Linked DNA regions of Tamandua tetradactyla. The protein of the gene in region 2 purifies or fractionates together with the protein of the main gene of each other region. This does not show direct contact. Links are inferred from orthologs where the notes say so. Each region holds a gene or a part of one and is shown on either strand. Other genes may lie near its edges. The genes, in order: GIT1, MED4, MED12L and POLR2B.

Region 1 (7,768 bases), on a different chromosome or scaffold from region 2:
CCTGACAAGTCCCTTACGAGCCTGGCCAAAAGGGTCCCCCTTTCTGCATTCCTCCTTCCTATCGGGGTCTCGCAGCTCCAGGGACTCTGCCCAGTCACGAGAAAATAAGAGAAAGCGCTCACCATAAGGATAGCAAGCCCTGGGTGGGGCTGGGATGCCTGGGAGTGTCACACAGCCTATTCCTTGATCCTTGACCTGTGACCCCCCTCCTCACCCAGGCCTTTCCCACCTCCGCATGGCCACACTCATGCGGGAGGTGTCCCTGTTCGGCAGAATGGGGAGGATTCTCCACCACATGGAATCCAGACCGATCCGGCAGCCCCTCCCCGCAGCCCTCACTGGCCCGGGGGAGGAGGGGCACAGTGTCCCCTGTCCCAATCTAGGAGGGTCCGGAACACTTGAGGGTCGCCAGTCCCGGCCGGAGGGGGCGGGGGGGGGGCCGCTCCCATCAACCTCTCGCGGTCAACAAACACAAAAGCCGCGGCCGCGAACAAAGAATCTCTAACTCGCCGGGGAGGCGGGACAGCCCGCGCCGCGCCCCCTCCCCACGCCGGGCGGGCGTGCCCAGCCGCGGGGTCCCCGCGGCGTCCCGACGACGCTCTTACCTGGCCGGCGCGGACCTCTTTCTCCAGCTCGCGGTGGCGGTTGTGCCACACGAGGTAGTGCAGCGGATACTTGCCCTCGGGCCCCTTTCTGGCGGAGGCGCTGGCGGGGATCATCGCCCGCTCCTCATGCCGGGGCCGCGGCGCCCGGCCGGGGAGGAGGGACGGCGCCGGAGCCGGGGCCCGGGGCCGTGGGGCGGGGGGGGCGGCGCTCCCTGCTTGCAGGGCTGCGGCTCGGGCATGTGCGAGCGGCGCCGGCGGGCGGGGGCGGCGCACCCGGCGCGGTGCGGGCGGCGGGCGTCCTCGCGAAGCGGTCGCGGCGGCGACGGGCGGCGCGGAGAGGCCCCCACCCGCCCGGGGAGGGAGCGGGCACTCGGCGGCGCGGCGCGGGCTCGCGCCTCGCCTCCCACTCCCCCGCACACAAAGACGCGGCTCGGCGGAGGGAGCAGGCGCCCGCACTGGGCGCGGGGGCGCACTGGGAGCCGGCCCCCGGACGCCGCTGCCGCCGCGCCAGGGACGCGGGCCCGCAGCCCTCCGCTCCCCACAGCTGCATAGCCCGGCCCTATGCCCGAGCGGTCGGCTTGGGCTGCGGGGCTGCGGGGAAAAGAGGAGGGGGACCCGGGTGCCCCGGGCAGAGCCTCTTCTAGTCCGGCCCCGCGGCATCATGGGGCTTGTAGTCCGCCTCGTGGAGCTGGAAATGGCAGGTGGTGGAAAGGGTCCAGCGCGCTCTTTCTGTTCCCTAGAAATGGTGAGGAAGGAGTCGGATCTGGCCGAAACGGAGGAGTGTCTTGATGCCAGGTGGCCTGGGAAGCATCCCCCACCCGTTTGCATTTTGCCCTTTGCTGCAGAATATGGGGGGGTACAGACCCATCTTGAGCATTGGGGGACAGCAGGGGGAGGGAATGTGGCCTTCAGGGTCCTAGGATCCTAGGGGACGTGAGGAGGGATCCAGACTCCCAAAAAGTGGCCGAAAGGGAAATCCCTAAGAAAGGTGTGGGGTATCAGTACCAAGAGTTATTGGAGCAGCCAGACGCCCGACATCTGAAGTATTCTGAGGAGTCCAACCTTTCCTCTTAGAATATTAAATATTTGACGGGGTGGCGGGGAGTGAAGGCTCACTGGGGCGAGGAGGACAGTCCCTTCCAATGCACTGTCCTTAAGTAGAACCAGAGTGGGTTTGAGCAGGGAAAGCAGCAGGTGGCAGCTCCGCAGCCTGGGTGGCCCCCTCAGGAGAGGAAGTGACTGATTTCAGAGACTGAATGACCCCTCGGCAGAGAGGCCCTGCCAGAAGGGACCTCGGAGAGGGTGTGGTAAGTGTGGAATTGATTGCCCTCCGGGGCTCCCTGTTGCTAGAGCTGGAAGGACCTAGAGGCCCAACCCAAGGAGGTTCAGCCCAAGAACTGTGCTGTGAGACAGAACTGAGTTCGAATTCAAACGCCTAAATATGTGACCATAGGTAAATTGCTTAAATTTTCTGCATTTCTGGAACCACTTACCTCTAAAATGTGACTCTGGATATTACGTCTTTAGGTGATCTCAGGATATTATGGTCCTCGAATCGGTGCCCCTCCCTCCCCCATCCAGGCGGACACCAGAAGCAGGTGGCCTTCTGGAGTCCACCTTAGAATAAGGCAGAAAGAAGGGATTCCACTCCCTCTTAGAACAACTATGGAAGAAGTGTTTGTGTGTGGGAGGTGCCAGCAAATGCTTGTAAACTCTCCGCTCCTCTCTCAGGCTTTTTTGTGTGGTCTTTCCTTCCTCCTCCACACCCTGCGGTGCCAGACCCCGGTGGGAAGGGATGAGGGAGGAGCGAACTGCCGCGCCCCTTTCTCTAGGCTGGGAGGAGCCAGCTAGCGTCTCCGGCCGCTGGGGACCGCTGCCCTCCTACACCACCAGAGGTCAGCAGAGTGTCGTGCCTGCGGCCGGAGATGGGGAGGGGGCTGCTGAGGGGGAGGGGCGGCTAGGAGTGGCCGGGTAGATTCTTGTACATTTTCTCATTAAATTATTTTTAGAATCTTGTGTGTGATTTCCTTTTAGTTTAGCAGTCCTTCATCCTGGAGTGGCAGCATCTCCACAGAGAAATCAAGTCCTTTTATTCCTAGCCCCAAATCCAGAAATTCGGCCGCGGAGGGGCCGGGGGCTTCTGTAACAAAGTTTGGGGAATGGGATCCGTGCCTGGGTCAATTCCAGGTAGTCCACCGGCCAACCTGGAGATGAGGCTGGAATAGGGGTGAATCATCCTCCTGCAAAGCCCGGGAGCACAGGGCGGTAGCCTGGGGTAGGGGTGGGTAGGGTTAGGGGTAGAGGGGCTCAGCCTGGAGCGGGGCAGCCTACCCCAGGCGGCCAGAGACACCAAACCGTCCTGAGCGCTGTGGCTGCCACGTGCTCGAGACGCTCCCACACAGCAGAGAAACAAAGACAGCCAAACGACCCGGCTGCCAGAAGCTGCCTTGACATTTAATAAATGAAATTCCAGAGCTGGGGGGGGGGTCGATTCGGGGTGAACGGACGGGCACCACTCGTGGGCTGCTCGCAGGATCCGGGCGACCACGCAGCACCTCCTATCACCATCAAAGCCGTGGACTCTGAGCCCGCGCGGTACGGGGCCGCAGGTGGTGCACCCCTCCTTTCCCCCAACCCCCGCCTGCGAGATATCTTTGCTGGCAGAAGTCCCGGCAGCTGAGCGGCTGGCTGCCTATAGGGGGAAGGGAGGCTTGCAAGAGATTCTTTTAAGGTGCGATTTTAAATATACCCTGTGGATCGCGATTTCAAGCAAACTTGTCAATCTAGGCTGCCGCAAAAAGCGATGGAGGCAGCTTTGCATATATTTCGGGTGGTGACTCATGAGAATTACTTGTCTCCCCAGGGAAGCAGCCTGCCCACCCACAAATCACTGCCGGCACTGGTGCCACTGGGAAAAATCGACCAACTCTGGCACCCCGGCCCAAGGAACACCCCCTCCACCTCCACCCCAGTTAATGAGAAGGACTCCCTGTTGCTTGGGGAATGTTCCCTTAACCTTGCGCCCCAGACCTGGCCCTCAAGCCTAGTCCTGAGCACCTCTGCCCTCTCTCCCCACACCTCTTGCCACTGGAGGGATGGGAGCTGGATGCAAGCTGGGCACAGTGTATGGGGGAGCATGGTCAGTGACGGGGTTCGCCCACGTGTGGCCTGCACTTTCACTCCATGGGCCTCGGCCTGTCTGCACAGCATCCGTGTGAAGTCCAGAAAGAGGCAATCACAAGAAACTGGCCCCATATGTTATATGCACGCTCTGGACTCACACCTCTAGTGGCCCAGAGACAAGGTGGATATACATAAAACAAATGACAAGTAGAGATTTCTGCACACCAGCCGGGTGGTCCCCTCCTCTGTCGGTCTTTAAGAACCACCCAGTTTCTTTCCTCTGAATGGAAGCATGGTGAGGCAAGATTTATTCTTTAGCCCGGAGGCAGCGGGTTACCTTGCGGACCCTCTCTGGCACCTGGGGGGTCTACACTGTGAGCAGGTGTGCGTACTCAGTAAGAGTGTGACCAAACACTCTGGCGTGGGCATCTGGTGGCCCAGAACGCATCCCTCATTCCCCCAAAAGAGAACTGTCACAGCCCTTTGACAGGGAGGAGGACCTCGGCCTCCATCTCCTTCCTTCTCTTTCCTGATTTCACCCAACCCCCGACTCACCATCCCCAGCTCTCAGCAGCCCCTGAGCCACCCCTAGCCCCAAAAGTGGAGGGGTTAGGGCTGTGAAGGTGACTTACACTGCCTCCGGGCTTGGGGAGCACCGGAGCAGAGACTCGGCCCCAGGCGACGCTGTGCGCCAGCGGCCGTGCCGCGATTGCGGCCCCTTTAAGCGCCCCCCCCCCACGCCCGCGCTCCCGGCTTCCTTTCTCCCGGAGGCGCGGCGGGCGGGGCGGGGATGCAGTTGCCCCTCCCCCGGTGGGCAGGGCCTGTGCTGCTTCCTGCCGGAGCGGCCCGGAGCCGCGTAGGGGGCGGAGAGAGCGAGCGGAGAGCGGCGGCGGGGCGGCGCGGGGCCGCGCGGGGCGGAGGGCGCCCGAGGGCGAGCGGGCAGGCGGGCGCCGCGGGTTCCGGGCCGGCCCCGGGGGCGGACGGTTGGCCAGGCGCGCTGAGCCTAGCCGGGGCCTTGCCGGAGCCGGGCCGGGCAGCAGGGGCCGCCGCCTCCCGGGCCCGCCGCCCGCGCCCCCCACGCTGGCCCAGAGGGCTGCGGCCGCTTCGCCGCTGAGGATGTCCCGGAAGGGGCCGCGAGCGGAGGTGTGTGCGGACTGCAGCGCTCCGGGTAAGCGCGGCCGGGCCGGGGGCGGGACCATGCACCGGGGCCGCCGCCGGGCAGGCGCCGGGGCCTGGCTGTAGCGCCGTGCGGGGCCGGAGGGCGGGGCGGGGTGCTGCGGCCTCCGGCCTCGGCTCCCACCAGGGCCACTGCGGAGCCGCGTCCTTGGCGGGAGGAGCGGCCTGGGGTCCCCGGGCCCCTCGCGTCCGTGGACTAGCGAGGAAGGGCATTCCCGGCGACTCCTCCCACCCTTCGGTCTGAGGGAGGCGAGCAGCTAGCTCCCCCACCCCCCCACCTCCATCTCAGTATCCAAACGGAAGCGCCAGCCTGGGATGGCAGGATGGCTGTGGCAGAGGCCGGAGGGTTTAGGAGGTGGGGGCGAGTGTGGTTTTGTCATCTCTGTTCCACCTCCGCGTCCTGCACCTGCTGCTTGTATGGTCTGTGCGCCTGCGGGGTTAGCGGAGGGCAAAGGGCAGAGAGCTGGGCAGATGCGTTGGGGCCTGGATACTGTTTTCTTGGAAGCAGATACCTACTCATACGATGTCCTGCCTCCAGTTCCTAAGGAATCTCCGGGGCCTGCTGGAGATTGGGAACAGATAACCTCAGCTTTTCCTGCTCTCCGGTGAGGCCTGCTTGGGAAAGCAGGCCTGACACTAGTGCCTGGGCCCGGACCCCTCCCGGTCCCCTGGCCCACCTAGTCCGAGCAGAATCAGGTAGGGGGGCAGTGGCAAGAGGTGCCCAGATTTCCTGGATTAAGCTGACTTCCTGGCCTGCCCCCTGGCAGTATATACTCTGGTGTTTCCCTTCCCTTCAGGGTCAGGTTCGGCTGGTGTGAATCCCCCTGGCCTGATGAGGAAGTGATGGACAGTGACCTGAGAGGCGCCTCCTGTCATGTGGGAGGACACTGCCTGTGAGGGGCTGCTAGCAGCTGGCTTGAGGAAGGAAGCTTGACCCTTGTCCATGTTCTCTTTAGAAAATGGGCAGGCTCTTTCTCGAGGAAATCCCTGGGCAGACTCAGGGGGGCAGGTCTGTGAACCCCTGGTGCTATGTGGGCACAATTAAGTGTGAGGGTGTAAAGTCCTGTTTTATGGGCCCATAGCGTTCAGCCATCCCTTGGACAGGCCCAGATTCCAACAGGTTCAGCCCCACAGATGCGCCGGTGGTTCTGGTGTGTGTGTTTGGGAATGGTGGGTGTGTTCCCGGCAGAGACATGGACACAGGGTGCTTTGTGGGTAGTTATGACATGCTTTGTAGGGCCCTGCAGGAGCTGGGAGGGGGGTGCTCTCTCCCCTTATTGGCTGGCAACCATGACCGTCTTTCCCCAACCACTGGCAGACCTGGGGATAGAAACTTGTCTTTTGTCTGTCCCAGGCTGTTCTGCATCTCTGCTGGGTGGGTATAGACTGGGCGGGAGGCCTGGAGACAGCAAGGAGGGCTGTGGGGTCTGAGCAAACACCCAGTAATGGAAGCTTGGATCTTAGTGTTGCTTTTGCTTCCAGCTTACTCTGACCCATGGCAAGACTTCCCTCACTCTGGGCCTTAGTTTCCACAACTGGAAGGCAAAGAAGTTGGCTTAGAAATGGTATTTGAGGGCCCTCCTCCCTTCTCCGAATCCGTGGTCCTAACTGAGCAGAGGGGCTTAGGGCAGCATCAGCATGGCAGCTGTACTGTATTGCACACTTGGCATGCCTGAGGCCTCTGGGTGCCCAGTGGGCTGGATGAGGTGGGTGCACGTCTGTTGTGTTGGAGTGCCCAGCTTCTATTCTATCCCCAGTCCTTGTCCAACACAGGGATTCGTGCCCTGGTTACCTTCTTTTCTTCTGATCCAGAATACAGGTCAGGAAGAGGCAGGCGATGAGACGGGTAAAGATGGCGAGGTGGGCAGGGTGTTGACAGAGCCTTTGTTGTCACTTCACCCCAGCACCTGTGTGGTTTCTGGCACACACAGGTGCTTCCCAAGTGCTTGGAGGCTTGTGTAGACCTCAGCTGGTGGCTTGGGGCTTCCCCGTCCCCCCCACCCTGTGACGCTGGCCCTGGCATGAGGGACCATTCTCAGTCAGGGTTCTGTATCAGCCCAGGGAAGAGGGGTGAGGATATCAATGTGGAATCCGCACCAGAAACCACCCCCTCACTATGATAGGGGTCCTGCACCATTAGTCTTGGAGATGGGGTTGTGGTCTTCTTGTGTTTGTTTAATTTGGGGGGATCTTGGAGGTGAAAAGTGAGGTACAGTGTAAGAGTCCAGACAGCGCAATGCTCCCAGGCCTGGGTACGCAGGGGACAAGTGTGAGTATGTGGTGAGGCAGTTGAACGTGGTATGACTGCTGGGCCACCTTGTCTGGTGCCATCTGTGTCCCTGCCTGCCCTTGGGAGTGCGAAAGAGGGGCAGGGATCTGGGACCCCCTCTCCTCTGCCCACCCTGCCACACACCCAGCCTTTAGAGGCTGGGGACAGCTCTCCAGGGTCTGCTTCTCAGCCCAGAGACCCTCCATCTCACACTTTCCGCTTTGGCAGCCCCAGGCACAGGAGTGAAGACCCCGGGGTGCCCCTGCTGTAGGTGCTGCCAGCCTTGAACATGTTACAAGAGAGCTTGCGGGTTCATTTGTCTCTTCATAACATGGCCGGAGGGGTGGGGTGAATGGTGGGCTTTTCTTTTTTAATCAAGGTGTAACGGATATGGTAAAGTGCCTTAAGCGTTCAGCCTGCAGAATTTTACCCGCCTTTAGACCTGTATAACCAGCACTCCCATCGAGACATTGCGCATTTCCAGCTCCCCAGTGCCTTGTGCCCCCCAAAAGGTAACCTCCCTTCTGGCCTATATCCCTATGGTGACTTTAACCTCTTTCCGGATGGTGGGCTTTGCCCTCTTGTCCAGCAGGTT
Region 2 (7,483 bases):
GTTACACCAAGTAAAGCTCAGAAAAGTAAAGAATTTACAGGGCTCTAGAGCATAACAGTGAGAAGTAACAGCCCATTCATTGAATGAACCGAAAAGGCAAAGATTTGAAGATCTAAGATGAAGACCTACTCAGAACAAGAGGCAGCGGCAACTATTTCCTGGAGGAGTGCCACTACCAAGATAATATATTTACAGAAAAGTTCATTGGTACCATCCATACCATAAAACTGATTTTAAAAAAAAGGACACTTTAACTCCATGAATTTCAAACTTAACAGTACCATCAAGATTCCTAAGCACAGTTGCTTGAAGTCAACTTTCAGGTTAGAATGCTCACAGAAGAAATAGCTCAAAAGCCATAGTTCAAGCAGAATGAGATCCAGAATTCAAGAAACTGGAAGAACTGGTTTAGACAGAAGCAAAAGAAGTATTTTCCAGCTAAGTATTAGTTGTTCTGAATCAAATGGAATTCAGATTTGTATCAGAACAACATTTGTATCAAAGTATTTAAGAGACTTAGTTTGCTCCAGCAATGAGTTTAAAGTTACATCTACACAGAGCTGTGCTGAGGTTGAGAAAACTGAGTTTTTCAAATGAAGAGCATTTGTGGGATGATTTAGAGTTTAATAACTTAAAAAGAAAAAGAGCACAATGTGAACTAAACGAAGCTTCTATTTGCTGTCCCCAAAACAGTTACCTTATACAGTTCTGAGTCATAAATAATTTAACTGGAAACATTATACTACCAACTCTCAATCTTGTTAGTGTCCTTTTCCTAAGAAATAACGTGGGTCTTCATTCAAGAGGATTAACAAGGAAACTGTTAAGTTCTCCACCACAATCTACAAAACCAGCAAAGACCTAGACAGAAATAGCACTTACATTAAAATGCGTAAACATTTACACCAAGGCAAAACATTAAGACAGCTGCCTGTGCTTATGAGTTTTTCATTCACCACTGACCACAAATGAAGATTCCAACATTGTTTGCCATCAGGCAGTATTCGAGTTTAATACAAACTAAACACTGAATTAAACACATAAGCTACATAAGGACAAATACTGGTGTCCATGTGTTTGAGGTTTTTCTTATATATTTAATATCAGGCTAACCTAGTAACTTGGTAAGTAATATGATGGCAAGAACTAAATTTACAGCAATTTAGTTAGGTATATTTCAAAACACAATACGTAAAATTTATTCTAGAGCTATCAACAAATGTTGGCTACAGAAAAGATGACACGAGCTGGATTCTGAAAGACGAATGAATGATTCACCAAGTAGGAGATGGAGAATGGCAGTGAAGTTGAGTAAGTAGTACTTTTTGAGGGTGGGGAGTACTAATCTTGGAGTGAAGGGTATAGACTGATGTGGTGGTACAGGAGGATAACAGAGTGGATTGAGAGGAGATAGGGAAGGACTGCACAGAGTGAATTAAAAGAAAATAGGGACTTTACACACTGTCAGTGAACAGTCCTGACACCTATTTATATAAGATAAACAGCTTCTCCCTCTCTTCCCCGGGTTCATACCCCTGCAAAAGTCAAATACAAACTCCCCAATCCCTGCTCTTTCTTGACTAATCGCTAGAGCTCTGCCCCTATAACATCACAAATGCACAGTCTCAGGTCCACTGTAACCTTTGCTACGCACCTGCTTGGTTGAGCATACATTCCTGACATGTTCTCCCATGTGAGCCTGCAAGTCATGCCACTCCTCTCTATTCCAGGACTTTTAAGGACTAATAAACTCTTCTTTCAAACATCTCTAGTTATCACTTGTCCTGCTATTCCTGGCTATCTATATAAAGAACCTTACAACACACCTACTTGCACACTAAACTAAGGAACCTGGACTTTACCTCATCGGACAATGGGAACAAACCCATCAAATGTTTTTAAGATAAGAAGTCACAAGAGATGCCTATTTCAGAACGATAACTCTGCTCTTGGGCAATACAGAATAAAGTGCAGAAGCATGAAGGCAAGTAAAGCTGTCGGGAGGATACCTTAAAAAATAGTTGTGACAGCGGGGATGGAAATGAGAGCAAATCTGAGCAACATTTCAGGAGATAGAAACAATACAATTTAACACCCAAGTGAATGTGACTGGATTACGGAAGGCTCCAACTTTACAGTACCATTAAGGGTGACAGAACATGGAGAAAGACAATCTCCTACCTCTAGGCCACACGCTGCACTACATCCACCCCAAACAACTTGGAATTAATTACACCAGCAAGTCGCGCCTTTGTACTTGCTCTTCCATCATCCCGCCGCCCGGTGAGCCTACTGAACTCCGTCCTGAGCAGCCCTTTCTCCAGGGAGTCTTCTCTGACTACCTAGGCATCGGAGCAGACCTGGTCCTTATGCTACAGGAGCCCGCAGCCACGCCTCTGATAAAAACAAGCTCCGCATCGAAGTCGCTGTTCACACGTTTGCCTCTCCCTCTTGACACTGAGCTCCTCCAGGATGGTAACCAGACTCCCGTTCACTACAGCCTTCCTATCGCCTGGCACCCAGGGGGCGTTCCATAAATGCTTGTTGGGTGTTGGAGGACCGGGTGATGTCCAAGACCCAATATGGCTATCGTAGCCTTGGGATTCCAGAGTTATTGTCATTATTCATATGCGCTGATGGGGAAAAGCGCGGCCTCGGATCCCGGGAGGGTTGCGGAGGCCACATCGCGGATACTGGTGCACTGTCGTTGGGGGTACGTGCCGGCGTTGCCCGAGCACGACCCTTCCCGCCGAACTCCAAGAAGCTCATCGCGGGGTTGCCCAGCTCCGGGGTCCACCCTCCCGGCCCTACTCCACCGGCCTTCAGGCCAGCGGCTTTACCTCGACAAGACCTCCAGATCTTCCAGCGCCGAAAACAGCCGCTCCCGCGTGCTGTTTCCGCTGGCCGCTCCCGGGCCGCCTCCGAATCGATCCTTCTCCTTCTCCAAACTCGAAGAGGCCGCCATCCTCCCCAACCGCCAGTAGCCGGCGCATGCGAGCGTCGGAAATGACGAGCTCGGGAGGCGGAAGGAAAGGTCACCGAGGCGAGGCGAGGGAGAGTCCTGACCAGAGCGTCCCCAAGGTGCCCGGAAGTACACTGTGGGTTTTGGCGCCATCTGCTGGACCAGAGGGGATCCTTGGTCCAAACCCGACCGGCCAGAGCGGTACCTTAGTGAGAGTACGTAGGGTTTTTCCATCGGGAGCTGGAGATTTTGGCTGAATGGAAATTAAATAATCGCCTACTGCTTGTGTCAGTTTACTCGTGAAATCTGCATGCCTATAATGCTCTTCTAACCCTCCATCCTTGCCTTTCGAGGAGGCTGTTTCCGCAGAGGCTGGGCTCCTAAGGATTTCTTGAGATGGCTGTTGAGTAGAATGAATTAGTATAATATGTCAGTAGTGGTTAATGAGAACCGTTTACATGAAGAATTGGATCACACATCCGGTGAGCTCAATCAGAACCCAAAGCCAAAGCCGAAAATCCACTTTTGCCCACTTAAGTCTCAAGTAGCTCACCTCTCCTGGAGACAACTGTGGAAAAGGGGATTTTCCTACCAGGGAAGCTTAAAGCTGCAACAGTTTGGGGAGTGAGGACCCCATACCAGGTCCCTGTCATAGAGATGTCACCTGAAGACTTCTGAGAGTAAGGCTGGAGTATTTGCAGGATCATGGCCCGTCCTTTTGGAAGTACTGAACCTGACTGGCACTGTGCACCCAGAAGTGATGCTTCCTTTGGGGATTGATGCTAAATAAATTCTCTCGCTAGTAATTGCGGTATAAACCAGAATGCCAATTTATTTACTTATCGGGAAAAATAATAACGCCTTAGAGAATCCTACACGGGAAACCAAATCATCCCCCAGAATGCTGGTTCATGACCTTGGATGTGTGCCAGTTTGAAAGGATTGTGTACCATACAAAAGCCATGTTTTAATCCTGATCCATCTTGTGGACCAGCCATTTCTTTTAATCCCTATTCAGCACTGTAGGTTAGAATCTTGGTTAGATTATTTCTATGGAGATATGACACACCCAATTGTGGGTATTACCCTTTGATTAGATGGGTATTACCCATCTATTCCAGCTGGGTCTTGATTTGTTTACTAGACTCCTTTAAAAGAGGAAACATTTTGCAAAAAGCTTCAGAGCCACGAGAAGCACGAGAGCCCATGCAGCCAGAGACCTTTGAAGATGAAGAAGGAAAATGTCCAGGAGAAACTTCTGAAACAAGAAACCTGGAGAGAAAGCTAGCAGATGTCGCCCTGTTCACCATAGGCCTTTCCAGTTGAGAGAGAAACCCTGAACTTCGTCAGCCTTTCTTGAGTGAAGGTAACCTCTTGTTGGTGCCTTAATTTGGACATTTTTATAGACTTGCTTTAATTGGGACATTTTCACAGCCTTAGAACTGTAAACTGGCAACCTAATAAATTTCCCCCCTTTAAAAGCCATTCTGTTTCTGGTATATTGCATTCTGGCAGTTAGCAAACTAGAACAGGTGGAAACAAATGAAGACAGTTGGATCTTGATGAATGCTTTCAACAGGTTTTGTATCTCCCCAGTGTAAAGATATTTAGTGTTTAAGAGACTGTAATATTTGTGTTAATTGGTAGCATGGCTCCTTCCCTAGAGAGTTCAGGAGAGGGACTCCCACCTTTTGTGTTCGGACCATCCCCCAACTTCAGGCAATAGAATAAATTAGATGTAAGCTTTCTTAATTGCAGTAGCATTCTAAGCATGCCTCCCAGAATCTCCAGTAAGTAATTTCTTGCGTTAAGTTAAAGGTGCCAAACTCTTGTAGTATGGTGATTTTGTTTACTTAACTCTGAAAGGAAAATTTTGGTCTGTGATACTGGTGAGCCCTAGAGGGGAGATCTTATTAATATAAGTTCCCACATAAATTCTGGGAGAGTTCCAAATGGTTAAAAATGACCAATTATAGGTCCTACTTTACTATACATTTACTATGCATCGAGGGTCAGTTTATGGTGATTATATGTTTATTGTGAACTCTAAAGCATCTCATATTTATTGCAAATTCATATGCACTCTGAGCATTGCCAACTTTCTGAGAAGTAATAACATCTTCTACAAATGAACTTTTTTGCAAAATATGCAGCTCTAGGTGTGATAAATAAAATACATGTTATTTCATAAAGCTTTCATTTACTGAGTTAATGGTAACTTTGGATGCTAAGCATTTTCTTAATCTATTAAGATTCATAACCTTATAGTTATCCTTGACTCCTCTCCTTTTTTTTTTTTTTTTTTTTTTAATTAACCATTCACCACGTCCAATCCTTCAGGAGATCAAGATGGTTCTGCCTTCAGAATGTGTCCAGGACTTGGCTTTCCACCCTTTCCACTGCTACCAGGTCTATACCTCCTCATCTCTCGACCTCATTTGCTGAAGTTGTCTCCTAACTGTTCTCAGCTGCAGACAGAGTGATTCTCCTAAAGCTCAAGTTTAGATAATGAAAATGAAATGCAATCCTAAATGTGGACAGGATCCAAGAATGGAGGAAAAAGGCTCAGAAGGTCATTACTGGGGCATAAGAAAAAATTGGCATGCAGAGTGTAAGCTTTTTATCAACGCTAAATTTCTTGAACTTGATAACTGCATTTAAGGTGGCTACATAAGTGAATAGCCTTTTTCATAGGAAATGTACATGGAAGTACAATCCATTGGCCCCAGAAGGCCACATGGTCAACTTCCTCACTTCCTCCAAGACTTCCTCAAATCTTATTTCATCAAAGATGCCCACCCTATTTACTATTGCAGTCTGACTACCACATTCCATCATGTTTATTCCTTTTTACTTTTTTCCCATCATGCTTATCATCTTCTAACATCCTATACAGTTAAGTTGATACGGTTTTGCTAATTATGTCTTCCGTTATATGTAAGCTCCAAGAGGGCAGAGTACTTTGTCTCTTTGGCTTACTGACACATTTCCAGTGTCTAGAATGATGACTGACACAAGTAGGCACTAATAAATATCATTGGATTTATTGTTGACTGTGGTGCTGAGATCACCAAAAGCCAGACTCAAATAGGAATAAAAGACAATAAAAAAATTATAATGATCTGTATTTTTGCCTCTGAACAGCAAAACTTTATTCTCAATATTTCCTTTCCACATGCTCCTTGAAGATTCTCAAAAACTCCAAATATTTATAACTTCCTCAACCAAATATGGAATATTCTGCAGCCATGTGGCAGCCATTTTCCTGGGAGCCATGCAACTAAAGAAACATAGACTTTAGTCTATGTAAAGAATCCAAGCCTCTTCTGTTCTGAATGCTTTTCTCACAGCCAGTTCCCTAAGTAAATTTGTAGGCTCATGTTCAAGATCAAGCCTGCCAAGGGTGGGATGGAGAATCAGTCACAGGCATTCCTCTCCCAGAAGTCTGGGCAATGAGAGAAGACAAGCAGGCTGTTGCGTTCATTAGCTTCCCTCTCCAAGAAACAAAAAACCTTTAGACTCCACCTCAAAGTCTGGGTCTCAGAAAGTCTAATCCCTAGTAAAAAATATTACACAATTTAGGATGAAGCTCTAATACCAAGAACCACCATTTATGGTTTCTGAAACCATAAAACACCTCTGGAAATGCCACCAGTGGTTGGGTTTGAGCAAACTGATGGCTTTTAGGGAAGGAAAACCAACTTTTAAATCAATCTCAAGAATGTCTCAAAATGTGCCATTTTAACTGCACTTAATAAACCAGATCATCTCAGTTAAATCCAAATAGGGCAGCACTACATCAGTAGAAGTTTCCTGTCCTCCTTACACTGTGAAATCTTCATCAGAATACTCCTATCTTCCTCATTCCAAAGTCACAACACAACAAAAACCACCCATTGTCCAAAATCACTCAATGTTATTAAAGTCATTAGCCTTGCAGGAAGTGTGGCATTTGACATTGACTCCCTACATTCTTGTGCCTTGAGAGGAAAAACAGTTTAGGTTGAACCTTTCATTGCCTTTAAATATTTGTGGTGTGGTTGCAGTGGAAAAGGTCATGTAGAACTAATCAGGCTTTCTAAAAGTAAAGTCTTATCTCTTCCCTGAAATTCTCTAGGCTTCCTTGGAAACTTGCCACCTCTCAGTACTCAAAGGAAAGGTGGGCATCATCACTGGCCTCTTTTGATAGATTCATTTATTCTTTCAACAGTGTTTATTAAGCTCTGTTTTTATACCAGGTACCACACTGAAGGCTGGCGCTATAAAGGTGAACAAGACAGCAGTTGACAATGCTTCTTTGAGGAGATAGAGGCAGAAACTCATAAGAGCTAAGTGTTGCAGGTGAAGCAAGAAGATTGGCAGGGGAGAGAAGGGAGAAACTCCAGTAAGGAATCAATATCAGAAAGGAGCCATCCATTAAATATCTTACCAGTTTCCTTATTTAGATGGAAAGAGTCTAGTATGAATGAGTAAAAATCCTGAATTAGATTCTCTTTTAGTTTCCTAGGCTGCTGAAGCAAA
Region 3 (7,249 bases), on a different chromosome or scaffold from region 2:
TATTAAATGCTTAAGACCCTGAAATTCAAAATTATTATTTCAAGAATCGCAGCGGTCCCAATCCTGACTTGAGTGTGGCCCAAAATAATGAAATGCCAAAGAGGCCCACTTGGCATCGCAAGCCACCATCTCATAACTGGGGAGGTGTCACCAGTTATGACAACTGTGGAAAGATGTAGCAAGATATCAATTATGAGACGCTAGAGATCAGCCAACAAATGCTTCTGTCCCCACCAAACCTTTAAGGATTTGCTAACAACAATTCTTAAGTTATTACCCTTTGGTAAATGAGCACTCTTTGGAACTTTTCTCTACTCTTGGTCCTCAGCAATCCACATTATTCTGGTGCAGGGATGCATGGACAGAACTGAGTGGGGAAGAAAGCTGCAGAACTTCAAACTCACCTGTCCTCACGATGAGCCTCTCCTGGGAAACACCTGGGAAACCTCCCCAGCTTCAATCTGCACTACTCTACTGATGCTCAAACATATTTAATGTGTGAAACCTCTAAAAAGAGTTGTCCCTCCTTATTTTTCAGACATATTATTAATAAAACAGCTTAACCAGAACAAGCATTCTTCCTCTAATATCAAAATATACACATTTATCAAAGGGAAGTCTTAAGGACCCCTCCTCACCTTATTTGCAAGACCCTTTCCATTACATGGTGGCCCTGTAAACTTTTAATAGAGAAATTTAGATCTCCAAAAAGATAAGTTCTGAAATGTGGTCAGCTCCTGTTTAGATGAAGAGGGCAGAGAATACGTGGGCTGCAGCTGACAAATTCTGTAGTACAGCTGGGGAGCAGGTGATCTTAAAAAAAAAAAAAAAAGGCAAGTCCCTGGGCAAATCGTGTAGCCAAGGGTGATCATTATAACTGGAGAGTTGTTACATAAGTACTTGTTAACTCTTGACAAACACATACATGACTACAAAATGCCATGGTTACCCTCGCCACTGAAGCTAGTGGTACCTGGTGCAAGTGTCAAGGTTTCTCCAATTAATTTCATTCAAAGGAATAAGCAATCCTGGACTTATTCCCTTCCAAGGTAATCTCCCTCCTTTCACATACATAAAACAGCCTCAGCAATTAATCCAATCGCCTCTGGAGACGAAAATCAGTGTTTCTCCTAAATATTGATTTTTAAAGGGGAGAGGGGGTGCAAAAGTATATTCAGAAAGCTAAATTATTTATCACCCCGACAAGAACGACTTCCATTCCAAACTGGAAAATCTGAGACGAGAAAAGATGCTCCCGACCATCACCTCCCCCTCTCCACTTCTCGGCTCAACTGGCGCAAAACGCAAGACCTCGGCGTCGGATGCACTGCATTCCAACATTTTTCAAAAAGTTTACGAGGATTTACCGAAGCGGCTGGGGGGGAATAAAGCAGGCAGGAGCGGGGGAGAGCGAGTAGGAGGGTTTCAGCAATGAAAAACCCCGTGAAGCACCCAGCGGCGCGGTGCAAGGCCCGATAACCGGGAAGCGACCCGACACCGGGAAAGCGAGCGCCCCAGTGGAGCGCAGGGACTGACTGCCGCTGGGTCTCCGCCGCGGGGGACCCAGGCCGGCCCCCGCCTCCAGCCCCCCCTCCACGACCCCTCCCCCGTAGCGCCGACGATGCCCGCTGGGCCAACTTGGCCCCGGGTCAGCGCTGCAGAGCGCGGCCCCGGGTGCCGGGGAGGCCGACAACGTCCTCACCTCCTTCTGCTTGGGGTCCTGGGGATAGACGTCGGGCGGCCCAAGCCGGGGGCGCTTCAGCGGTCTCTGCTCATAGCTGAGAAGCCCGAAGGCGGCCATGATCTCTCATGTTAACCGGCGAAATGAATGAGAGTTGGAGCTGGAGCAGCCGCCTCTGAGCACCAGGGAGCAGCACTTTGCAGACAGACTCCCTCTCTCCCCCTCCTTGCTCGTTCACTCGCTGTGGCGCTGCAGGCAGGAATAAAGCAGGTTGGATGCTGCCGCTGCCCGACACGCAGACATGCACTGATGGGGGCAGGCTTCGGCGGGCACCTGGCTGCGCTCGGGCCCCGGGACGCGGCGCTCCGGCGGAGGCGGCGGAGGTACCAGGAGGTCTGCCTGGGTCCTCCGCGGCGCCCGCCTCCCGCCCCCGCCCCGTCCCTAGGGGGAGGAGCAGCTGATGGGAACGTGTGACTTTTTTCACCAATGGACCCAAACCCACGCCAGCTGGGCCCTGGGTGGGGGTGGGGGAGGGGCGCGGGGAGGAAAAAAAAACTTTTCTTGGCGACTAAGCGGGTGGCTCAAGTGCTCGCCCAAGGCAAAGGGGCCCGTCTCCCCAGGGAGGGGACGGCGGAGCGGCCCGCCCCCATCCCTCTTTCGCCTCAAGGACCCTTCCCCCGCCGCCGCGCGCCCTGCAGACCCCGCCACCTGGGCGCGGACCCGGCCGGTGCGGAGGGAGGGAGGCCTAGAGGGGTTGGAGGAGGGCTGCGGGCAGCTGAGGAGCGGCCGGTGCCTCCTAGACTCCCGCTGGGCTCCGGTGGCGCATCCGCGACTCGGGTCCCTTCCGCGGCTCCGGGCAGGCGCCGAGACGCGCTGCTGGTGGTCGCGGCGGCAGCGGCGGCTGGAGCCGGCCGTGCTCTCTGTGGCGCGGGGCCGACTTAACCCTTTGTTGACCCTCCAGAGGCGGGTTGGGGGCGGGTCGAGAGGGGCGGCAGCGAGCGCAGATCGGGGCTGACAGACTGCGGGCGTCTCGGGCTCCTCCAGCCCGCCGCCCTCCCCCCCGGCCGCAGCTCCTCCACCCCCACCCCCCAACAGTTTACCTGTTGGTCACTGGCTAGCGGGCAGGGGCCGGCGGCGGCGGGGGCACTCTGGCGGCCGCAGCCTCCATGATTCGGGTTAGGATTAGGGAACTCGATTTTATTTTATTTGTAAGGTATCAAGTCTAGTCCAGGCGAGCTCCGGGGACGCCACGAAGTTTGCCACTGTCTGGGGGCGGCGGACGACGCCGGCTCGCAGCCGCCGGCGTTCTCGCCCCCACAGCCCGGGAGCGCGAGCTTCCTAGTTGGCGGACGGCAGCGCGGCGGCCGCACTGAGCATGCCCAGCTCGGCTGCCGGACCGCGGAGGAGTTGGCTGCCAGCGCTGGGAGCGCGCTCCGATCCGCCTCTCCGGGTTTTCGCAGCCGCAGAGCGCGCAGCCTGCGGGCCCAAGCGCCGGGGATGGCCCTGGGGTGAAGCCGGGCAAGGGAGGGGGCGTCCCCAGCACCGCACTCCGGGCCGCAAGCTGCGCTCTCCGCCTCGACCTCTCCAGAGGTCGCTGTCCCCTTGGCCCCGGCTGGAAACCTCACCTGCGCCGGGCGCGTAGAGGGAGGGGCAGCGGATAGTCTAGGAGAGATCTCGATCGTCCCACCCACCCGCACTCCCCGCTTGTTTGGGGCGTGGGCGCCAGGATGCTGGGCCACCTGCCGCGAGCACTGCGAGGCCGCCGCGGGGGCGGGCCCAGCGTGTCCCGGGGGAGCCCGCGGGAGGCGCGCCCCGGAGGATGCACCCGCACTTGGCCGAGAAGAATGATGGCTGCCATTTATGGAGCCCTCTCTTCTTGCCGGGATTTTGACAGTCAAGCTCGATAAACTGCACAACTTACAGGATTTCCTGTACCCTTTTAATAGATGGAGAAATGAAGTCGGTTCAAGGGAGGTCAAGTGACTTGCTGAAAGCCTCGAAGCTAGTCGTGATTTGAATTTACCTCTGCCTGATCCCAAGTTTCTGATCTATTCTCCCCGGAGTTTCCTGGCGCGCAGGTGCCCGATTGTGTCGCGTTCATCACAACTTGAGGAATTTCTCGGACTCCCATTTCCCTCCCCTATAAAATGGTCCAGGCAGAATCTAAGCATTTGTGCGGCAGCTGCACATTGTAGATGCCCAGGAAATGTTGGATGTACCGAATATCTGCTTACCTCTGCTGACTTCAAACAAAGGGGAAAGAAGGAAGTAGATAAGGAGATGACACCCTGCTAGCAGCTAGTTCCTCCGTCCTGACCTTGAGTCCTAAACACTTGAACCTATACCTGAGGCTAAATCAGACCTGTAGTTTTGGGCTTCCTAACTCAATCTGAGCAGGAATTTATAGACACAATGAACCGCCATCAGGAAGCACTTCCTGAACACCCTACTCCAGGGGCTTCTGTTCCACTCATACTGTGAGTGCAGCATAATGGTTGGTTGAACTTGCCTTTATGTTATCAGTCTAGCTCTTGCTTGAAAGAAAGGACATATAATATAACCTTGTTAGGAAAATGATCAAATGTACCAAAGAGTAGAGGGCATAGTATAATGAACCCGCAAGAACTCATTATCCAGCCACAGCAGTTATCAAAGTTTTGCCACTCTCCCCAAGACCCAACACGCTGGCAGACTCACGGGTGAATGAATTTCGGTTACATCCCTGAGAGGTTTCCTAAACATCTGGTTACTAAACATCTGATCACTAACACTAAGTAAGGACTTGTTGTTACTAGCCCCACTCAAATCTGCTGTTTGTCAATCTAAGTTATGGTTACAGCTAATTCTCCCAAGGTCCTCCCCTATTTTGTCTTGGTTCCTCTATCTTCGTGACTGCACCTGTTTTATTTTTAAGACACATAAAGTCTGTGCTTAATATTTTGCACAGCCTCATTCCAAAAAAAAAGGAGTGAGAGGGCCAAAAGAAATGCATACAATACAATGGGATAAAAAAAATAGTAATGACTGAAATACCTACCTTGAAAATCCTCTTTCCTAAAGCACCACCTTCTCCCCTTTTCCCTTCCAAAACCCTTGAGGCTCTAACACCACACATGCTCTGTATTTACGAGTTACAAGTGGGAAGAAAGTGCTTGCACTAAAACAGGGTTCTGCATAATTCTGTGCCACACATGGCATTAAAACAAAGACGAGGGAAAGTGGGTTTCTGCCAAGGGAACAGGTGGGTACATCAAGCTATTTATTGAAAATCCCCCTCAGATTCCACAGTCACCAGAAGCTTGGAAGGGAAAGGTCTTGGAACCTTTGCCCCTGGTCCTATCAAATCAGTCTTGCCTCTCTTGACTTGAAGAAGAATGTACACAAGTCAGGTTATGTTATAACCCAGTGTCTGCTTCGTCACCTGTCAGCTATGATGGTGTCTCATTCAGGGGCATGCGTCCTAAGGTACCATATGACCGATTCTGTTTTCATGCTGTTGTTACAGGTCATCTGTATAATAGTCATCAGGCCTATTTCTGAAAGTGCCTTGTTGCTCACTGTACCCCCTCATTGGCCAGAAAAGTCTCAGTTCTCTCAGAGCACTGATTGGTGTGGGCCTCAGACCCAGGGACAGTAATTCTTGTTACTGGAGGTAGCGATAAGTAGGATGTTGTGAGGTCCTCAGAACAGCTTTAATTGATAAGCCTCCTCCAAAATCATTCTTTCACTACATAGATTTCCCATAGACATTTGGTTCCTTCCTTGCCCTTACATTTGGGATCTTTGCAGTCCACCTCTACCTACCAAACTCATTCTTTCTCCTTCCCCTTTGCCCCAGTTAGCACTTACCCCTATTTGCAGCATGGAAATCGCAGGTGATTCTTCTTGAGCTATCCATCTCCTATTCCTGATAGCGTTAAGATTCTGTATGGAAAAGTGGTAGGCTAGGGGCACATAGGACACAAGAAGGAAAGAGAGAGCACAAAAACTGGGACTCTATAACTTAGCAAAATCTAGAGTGGCCAAGGATGGTAATTAAATATACAAATATAAGAAAGCTTCTATATGAGAGAGAACAAATGAATGTCACCATTGCAAGGTGTTAAAAATGGGATGGTATATGGAAAAAATACAATTAATCCAAACTGAGGTCTATAGCTAACAGTAACATTGTAATATGCTTTCATTAATTGTAACAAAGGAAATAAACCAAAGCTAAATGCCAATAAAAGGAGGTTATGGTGGGGGGATATGGAATTCTTATTGTTGATGTTTCTCCTTTTTTTCTCTCTCTCTCTCTCCTCTTCTTTCTTAGGGGGAGAAATGGAAATACATAACTATGTGATAATACTGGGAGCCATTGATTGTACACTTAGGATGGATTGTTTGTTGGTGAATAAAACTGTGTAAAAAATAAACACAAGGTACAAGTACTGGAGAAAGTGTGGAGAGAGAGAGAGATACCTATTCACTGTTGGTGGAGAAGTAGAAAGGTGCAGCCCCTCTGGAGGGCAGTGTGGTGGCTCCACAGAAGTAGCTAAGTATAGAGTTGCCATATGATCCTGCAACCACATTATTAGGTATATACTCGGAAAACCTGAAAGCAGGGACAGGAGTAGACATTTGTACACTGGTATTAATGGTGGCATTATTCGTAGCTTGCAATGGATGGAGGTAGCCTAAGAATACATCGACTGGTGAAGAGAAGGACATACTGTGGGGTATACATACGACAGAATATGGAGTGGCGGCAGAAAGGAATGGAATCGTGAGGCATGCAATTAGGTAAAATAATTCTTGAGGATATTATGTTGAGTGAAATAAGACAAATGAAAGGACAAATATGGTATGGTCTCTAATATAAACTAACTATAACGAGCAAACCCTAAGAATTGAATCTGAGATCATAGGTTATCAGGGGATACAACTTGGGCAGAGAATGATTAAGGAGTACAGAAGGTTCAGTAAGGTTCATTGTAAAGGTTCCTAGAAAGTGAGATCGTATAGCAGTCACATCTGTTCCTGAGTTTTAGCTGTTATTTCTAAATTCTGAGATGCTATGCTCTTTGTATATAACCTGGTAGTTCCCTGGAATTGGGGTATCTGTGTGATACTAGAGACTCAGACATAGAGTTCTGCAGCTCTGATAGTCAGCATTACTCCATACCCCAACTGGTAAGCTGAAAAAGAGATCAAAAGACCTCAATTAAATATATTAAAGAAATGGACCTGGTTAGGATTAAGGTAAAGCAGAATACAGTGTAAAAAAATGATATTGTCTGTGTTTTAAAACCTCAACTTCCATGTGAGACCAAAGGAAGAGATGTCTATTTAGTCCAAAATTTAAATTTTCTGAAATACACTATCTAATTTAACCTGTCTAATCAGTTTATTTAAACATCATAATTACATGGAACCTAGAATAGGGAGTGAAATCTTGTTATTCTGTACAGGTTAAGGTAATACCCTGATGCATTCTAATGTATTTTGGGCAGAAAAAAAAATTGCGAAGTCCCCTTAAGGGACTGGAGAAAAGTGTGAAACTATTAAACTTCCCAACCTGGAGAA
Region 4 (6,963 bases), on a different chromosome or scaffold from region 2:
CCAAGGAATGAAAGAAGGTTAATGTAGCTAAATCACTGAACTGGAAGTTGGAAGTGGTAAGGAGGGTTGGTCATTATCAAGAGTTCTGAGGAACCAAACTAGCAGGGGTGTGGCATTATCAGGCTTTCATTTTGGAAAGGATATTATGCCATTATGGCCACAATGTGGAAAGTGGATAGGAGATGTAAGACTGGAGGTAGAGAAACCAGTCTGGGGAAGTGATCTAGGCAAGTGACGGTAGTGGTCTGAACCACAACTGTGACAGAGTGGATAGGAGAGAAATGACCAGATTTGACATACTTAACAGACAGAACCCTCAAGGAGAAAGAGTGGCTATGAATGTGAACAGAAGAGAATGAAAAGAAAAGTCTGCAAGGTAAGAAGAATCAAGCGAAAGTGACATGGCAAAAGGAGGAGTGAGTTTCCAGGACAAAGTCAACAACTATGCCAAATGCCACAGTGTTCAAGATGAAGTTTTAAAAATGTTCACATAACATTTATAATGTGACTGTGTGATTGTGAGAACCTTGTGTCTGATGCTCCTCATATCCAGGGTATGGATAGATGAGTAAAAAATATGGATTAAAAATAAATAAATAAATAATGGGGGGGACAAAGGGTAAAATAAATTGGGTAGATGGTAACACTAGTGGTCAATGAGAGGGGGGTGAGGGATGTTTGAGTGTTATCTTTTTTCTTTTCATTTCTTTTGCTGGGGTGATGCAGATGTTCAAAAAATGATCATGGTGATGAACATACATACAACTGTGAGATGATATTATGAGCCATTGATTGTACACCATGTATGGTATGTTTTTATGTCAAAGAATATATATTTGTATGTTAAGCTTTTACTGTAAAAATATATTTTTTTAAATGTTCATCTAATTTATCAACTGACAAGTCACTGTTTATCCTATTAAGAGCTGTTTTAATATAGTGGCATGAGCAGAATCCGACTGCAAAGGGTTGAGGAGAAAATGAACCACGTGAATTAGAAGCAACATGTATAGCCTATTCCTTCTAGAAGCTTAGCTATGAATGGAAGGAGAAAGGCAAAATTTTGGAAGAAAAAGGAAATGATGGAAAGAGGGCTTAAACGGTTTCCTGAGGATGAGAAAGCTCTGATATTTTCTCATAAAAAGAAGCTAGTGAAAAGAAATTCCTGAAAACTGATGAAGGGATATCTAATAAATATTTCAAAGGAATGGAATGTAGACTTGATGCCAGAGCAAAGACTTGACAGGATAAGCTTAATTTTTTTTAAAAAAGTTAAATTGCCACTGGGAAACTAAATTAGTACAACCACTATGTTCGTCTTTTTTTTTTTTGTATGCTGTGTAGTGGGGGTCACATTTCATTTTTTTTCCATGTGACTACCTCGTTATTGCAGTACCACTTCTAGAATTTTGGGGAGGCAGATGGGAGTACTCAGGTATGGCGGTCATTTGGCACCATCTATCAAAATGTTAAATATATGTATCATTTGATACATCAATTTCACATGTAGGAGTTTATCTTACAGACATACGTTACCTTACAGACTACAGACATACAAATGACATAAGTACAAGATTATTCATTACAACATCTTTGAACTAGAAAAGGACTGCCCATCAGCAAAAGACTTGAGTTATGGTACATCCACACAAAGTAAGCTGCTGTAGAGAAAAATAAAAGGAGAAAGCTTTCTATCTATTGATATTTAAATCTCCTAGCTGTATTAAGCAAGCAAACAAAAAAGTACAGAAAAGTGTGAGTGCTACTTTTTGCCTGTAAAAGGGAGAAAAATACAGAATCCCATTTATTTTTGCTTGGATATGTATAAGATACACTGGAAAGCGATAAGAATCTAAGAACATTTGTTAATCTATTGTGGACACATGATAAACAAGAATGAATCCTGACATTCAACATTTTTGTATTTTCTGACTTGCGAGCCATAAAATATATTACCTACTTAAAAATAAGATAAAAAACTTCTTTAAAAATTTATTCCCACTGAAACAGGAATTAAGAGAATAAAGGAATGTAATGCTAATAAATTTCTAGATAAAAGATGTAATGAGACAGAGAAGTCAGAGCAGTATTTTAAGCTTTTGCTTCTATTTTCTCCGAGAAGTAGCTAAAGGAACGAAAAAAGAGTGAGGGGTGGCCATGGGATGGTAAATTCGAAGAGAATGAAGTATGAAATAGCAGCTGTAGAAACGGAAGAGGAAGGTTTAAAAACACAACATGAAGATACACTAAGAAATATATAAGTGAAAAGAAAATAAGATATATTGAACCATCTTAGAACTGTGTCATCTTGTGGGAGAAGAAAGTTTAAAAGTAATTTTTTGAAGACAATTTAGACTTAAGAAAACATGAAGGTAGGCCAAACTAGATGCAATCTCTTCCCCTGCTGCATTCTTTGTCTCCGGTGTATTTTCAGGGCCTAGCTCAATGCCTGGCACAAAACCGATGCTCAAAATTTGAACTACGCAATAAACAGGACAACTGTGAACCCAAAAAATAAAAAAGGGGGCCCTTTGCTTCAGACCTCGTTAAAACAACGAACTTGTCTTAACGATTCCGTACGCTTTTGCAATACGGTAAGGAGACATCAGAATTAACAGCACAGATAATAGAGATAGGGGAAATATAAGAGCCAACTGTATGGAGACCATCAACGCTATTTCCCCGCATCTTCCATCCCACGCAGTATGTTCTTCGCTCCCGGCCTGCGGGGGTAGGGAAGCATGACTGAAACCACTCGTGCAGTGGGCGAGGGGAGGCCGCAAATCCTCTATCCACCCAATTCCCCAAATTTCCCTCCCTAAATGGGTCACCGTGAAGCGTATTTTGAGTGGTCACCTACCCTCATCCGCGTCATACATTTTGGCAACCGGTTCCCGAGCTCTTAACTCTAGAAATCTGAGAGAGAATGCAGCGCAGCAGCAGCAAACCAGAGACACAAACCATACGACTTCCGTCTGGGACGTTCCCAGAATACTCTGCGTTTTACACCTAAAACCCTCCCACGAGAAGTCAACTGTAGGATTGAGTCTGCGCAAATAGTAGCGTAAGGTTGTCCGGGGTTAAATTTGCGCATGCGCAAATTGTAAACCGATGGCGCCGTGGCTGATTGCTAGTTCTGACTGTAGTTTGCCTGTCGGATCCGGTCAGCAAAAGATATCTGGGAAGATTTTTGTTTTTTCACTGTTGTTACATTTTTTTGCTCCTGCAAAAAAACCAAAAAGATTTATTAATAAAAGATTTTAATTGTGACCCGTGAGTCCGCACTTCTATTTTTTTGCACTCCTGAAATCCAAAAATCACTAAGCTTTTCAAAAATGTGATTTACTAAGGGGAGAAAGGGGCTTGCCGGCGGAGGCGCACTGAAGAAGCTTAATGAACAAACCAAAGCGCTCATTATCATCTTCTGCCGGTCTAGGTTTCTATTTAGGGCCTTGGTGCAATTGCAGCAGAGCGCTCCAATCGCGAGAATTCACGGGATGAGACGTGGAAAGAAGAACCGGATGAGGCAGGTGACAAGTGACCACTCCCAGGCACCAGCAGGAGCTCGTCTCCCGGCCCCAGTGCGCGTGTGCGCACGTGTCTCCGCCTCTTTGCCGGAGGGCGGTGTTCCTCATGCTGCCCGCGTTTCTAACGCGCCGAGTTCTGTGGCCTTTACTGTGGGGATCGGCTCCCGTGGTAGTGCGCCATGGCCTCCCGGAGCCCCTTCTCGGGAGGGGATGTACGGCCGCTTCCTTCTTCCAGCACTTCTCCAACCTGGGACGTGAGTTTCCTCGTGGCCCGACGGCGACTCGGGACTATGGTGGAAGTCCCGACTTGGAGGAGCGTTTTCTGTTCCCCGAGTACATCCTGGAGTCAAAGCCCGCACCGACCTCCGAAGAGCTGCTGGAGGAGCTACGGCAGCGGCAGGAGGAGGAGGAGCGGCAGAGGCAACGGCGGCGGGAGCAGCGGCAGCTGCAGAAGGTACGGGCCAGATGTCGGGAGCACCAGATAATGGGGCATCCAGACCCGGCGGTGCCGTCCAGCGGCGTGAGCTGCTCGGGCTGTGGAGCGGAGTTACATTGCCAGGATCCCAGCGTGCCTGGCTACCTGCCCAGCGAGAAGTTCCTCAGTGCAGCGGCGCAGGAGGACGGCGGGCTAGCGCGGACGGTGTGCCAGCGCTGCTGGCTACTGGTGCACCACCAGCGCGCCCTGCGCGTGCAGGTGAGCCGCGAGCAGTACCTGGAGCTGGTGAGCGCCGCACTGCGGCGACCCGGGCCCTCCTTGGTGCTCTACATGGTAGATCTGCTGGACCTGCCCGATGCCCTGCTGCCCGACCTGCCTGCGATGGTGGGCCCCAAGCAGCTGATCGTGCTGGGGAACAAGGTGGACCTGCTGCCCCAAGACACCCCGGGCTACCGTCGTCGGCTCCGCGATCGTCTTTGGGATGACTGTGTCCGCGCCGGGCTCCGGCCATCCCCTAGCCACCAGGGGCCACAGGACCCGGGCAGAAATGGGTCTCGGGAGCTGGCGGAGAAACGGAATCCGCCGTCCCAGCACCGTACGGTGCTCAGGGACGTGCGGCTGATCAGCGCCAAGACCGGTTACGGGGTGGAAGAGTTGATCACCGCGCTTCAGCGCTCTTGGCGCTACCGCGGCGATGTCTACCTGGTCGGCGGCACCAACGCCGGCAAGTCCACTCTCTTCAACACACTCCTGGAGTCGGACTACTGCACCGCCAAGGGCGCGGAGGCCATCGACAGAGCTACCATCTCCCCATGGCCAGGTGAGCCTTAAGAGCCTCGGCCTTTTTCGCTCTCTGAGAAGACGGATGTCTGGTGGTGGCCCGAGGCTCCGATTACATCTCTGTATAATGTCCACCAGGGGGTGCCTGGAATCTTTCCTTTTAAAATTCTCTCCTTAGGACACTAGTCTCTTTTCTGAGTCAGTTTAGTGCTTGGAGATACTATATATTTTTTTACTAATTTTCTAGTGGAAATACTTATGGAGCACTTCTTTGTGTCAGTCGCTGTTCTAGGAAATGGCGATACGCCAGGAAACGTCCTACCCTCTTGGACGTTTCCCTTATAGCCTTCTAGTTTTATGTTCCTCCCAAAAGTCGTGCTTCCTTTTACTCCATGAACTTCCTTTCACTCTGCAATCCTACTCCCCACGTCTTGAGTTTATTCATGAGAAAGTATGCTATGCATGTTTAACATTTGAGTAATTCACTAATGCAATATATGTGGCTTTGTTGAGAAGAAATGTCTACTTTGTCACAGAAGTTTCTGTAAATGGCTCCTTCTGTGACCATGTTTGTATTTAACAGTTGACTCTTTAGTGTTACTAGCTGCCCCGTTTATTCCTTTGAAATCAGTTTAATTTTGTTTGGTAAACTGTTTTTCTTCCCTATCTTGCTTACACTTTAGTTGCATTATACATAGACGTGCTTTTGTACTGAATGGTAGCATGGTGAAAATGGAAAAAATTTAAGCCTACAGGAACTAGAATTCAAATCCTAGTCTAGGCTATGATCCAGTCTCTGAGACTGTTTCCTCATCTCTAAAATGAAAATAATTTTATAGAGGGTCATATCAAGGGTTGATTAAGATAGAACACAGTGTAGCTCCTCAAAACTGATAGTTTTCCTCCTTTTACTCCCTTTTTTGGTACAATGTTTATAAAAACATACTTATTCTTTGGTATTTCAGGTACTACATTAAACCTTCTTAGGTTTCCTATTTGCAACCCAACTCCTTACAGAATGTTTGAAAGGCACAAGAGGCTTAAAAAAGATGCGGCTGAATCTGAAGAAGCTCTTACTAAGCAAGAACAAAGTCAACTTAATATCTTGAAAAAGCATGGTTATATAGTAGGTAAGCATCTTCCACAGGAAAACGTAATGGTTCTATGCCAAAATTCTTTGTTGAGCAACCTGAAATACAGCTGTCTGGTCATTAGAACTTAGAGCCCTTTTAAAGCATGGCTACTTTTTGGAAGTTCAGTAATCTGTGAAAATGGAGATTGTGATACTTAGAGAAGTCCAGGAAAGGAAGCATGCAATAACTGTCCACCTAGACAATGTCAGTGGTAGAAGCATTTTCCCCAAGCTATTCCCTCTGCCAGGTAGACCGTTACAGATAGTAAAGACTGTTCATTTCATGCAGCAGCTTAAAAACTGAGCTGTCCCCTTTCCTTGGTATCCCTTTTCAGCCTTCCTTTATTAAAAAGTTTGATTTCCAACCTTCCCCCACCCCCCATGTGTGCCCAGCCAGACACACACTTGATCATTGCAACAGTGTAACTCTCATGCTTTGTTACAAAGATAGCATTGTTTCCATTTGCTGTAGTTAGTAATTTATTTGAAACAAGCAAAAAACTGTCTGGAGTCAAAAGTTTTAAAGGAGCACCTGATAACTTATTCCAGGAAGAGTTGGAAAAACATTCCTATACTCAAAAGAAAAGACGGATGAAGCTGCCTTTGAGTTTGATGCTGATTCACTTGCCGTTGACATGGAAAATGAACCTGTTCTGGTTGCAGAAAAATCCACCAAAAAAGTAGAATTGACCCCACAAGATGTGAAAGATTCCCACTGGTTTTATGATACTCCTGGAATTACAAAGGAAAATTGTGTATGTATTGGTTTGTTTTAGAAATATTAACTGTCATTGTGTAAGTACTGTATTAATTGGCAGAAACAAGAAAAGGGACTATACTTTCATTTTAGACTCAGTTCTGATTCATTCATAGAAGCAATTCACAGATGACTCCATATACCTTCTAGTACTGCATTATATTTGGTAGACTTCACTGCTGACAACCTATTTGCATTATCATTGTGGGTGTTAATGTTGGTTAAGAGACATTTACAGAATCCTAGACCTTTGAGGTTGGAAGGAAATCTCAGACATTACTGCTGCAGTTCAACTACTTATTCCATGCTTGAATTCCCTTTATAACACATA

Evidence for each region.
Region 1: the proteins of MED4 (region 2) and GIT1 purify together in Homo sapiens (affinity purification with mass spectrometry; 3 studies listed by BioGRID and IntAct, with this or other methods). This does not show direct contact. The link is inferred for Tamandua tetradactyla from reciprocal best matches to the Homo sapiens genes MED4 and GIT1.
Region 3: the proteins of MED4 (region 2) and MED12L purify together in Homo sapiens (affinity purification with mass spectrometry; 3 studies listed by BioGRID and IntAct, with this or other methods). This does not show direct contact. The link is inferred for Tamandua tetradactyla from reciprocal best matches to the Homo sapiens genes MED4 and MED12L.
Region 4: the proteins of MED4 (region 2) and POLR2B purify together in Homo sapiens (affinity purification with mass spectrometry; 3 studies listed by BioGRID and IntAct, with this or other methods). This does not show direct contact. The link is inferred for Tamandua tetradactyla from reciprocal best matches to the Homo sapiens genes MED4 and POLR2B.

Annotation. Positions count from the first base shown.
Region 1 is NC_135332.1:52,835,453-52,843,220, reverse strand, and holds the start of GIT1 (ARF GTPase-activating protein GIT1), read left to right. Parts: upstream 1-4,766; 5' UTR 4,767-4,844; coding exon 4,845-4,896; intron 4,897-7,768. UniProt on the Homo sapiens protein: GTPase-activating protein for ADP ribosylation factor family members, including ARF1.
Region 2 is NC_135330.1:110,209,647-110,217,129, reverse strand, and holds the start of MED4 (mediator of RNA polymerase II transcription subunit 4), read right to left. Parts: upstream 3,006-7,483; 5' UTR 2,966-3,005; coding exon 2,841-2,965; intron 2,812-2,840; exon of another isoform or gene 2,361-2,811; intron 2,347-2,360; exon of another isoform or gene 2,182-2,346; intron 1-2,181. UniProt on the Homo sapiens protein: Component of the Mediator complex, a coactivator involved in the regulated transcription of nearly all RNA polymerase II-dependent genes.
Region 3 is NC_135331.1:44,633,740-44,640,988, reverse strand, and holds the start of MED12L (mediator of RNA polymerase II transcription subunit 12-like protein), read right to left. Parts: upstream 3,018-7,249; 5' UTR 2,782-3,017; intron 1,931-2,781; 5' UTR 1,802-1,930; coding exon 1,703-1,801; intron 1-1,702. UniProt on the Homo sapiens protein: May be a component of the Mediator complex, a coactivator involved in the regulated transcription of nearly all RNA polymerase II-dependent genes.
Region 4 is NC_135345.1:57,601,038-57,608,000, reverse strand, and holds the start of POLR2B (DNA-directed RNA polymerase II subunit RPB2), read right to left. Parts: upstream 3,001-6,963; 5' UTR 2,880-3,000; coding exon 2,861-2,879; intron 1-2,860. Other genes in the region: NOA1 (nitric oxide-associated protein 1), read left to right, coding at 3,634-4,783, 5,709-5,873, 6,425-6,630. UniProt on the Homo sapiens protein: Catalytic core component of RNA polymerase II (Pol II), a DNA-dependent RNA polymerase which synthesizes mRNA precursors and many functional non-coding RNAs using the four ribonucleoside triphosphates as substrates.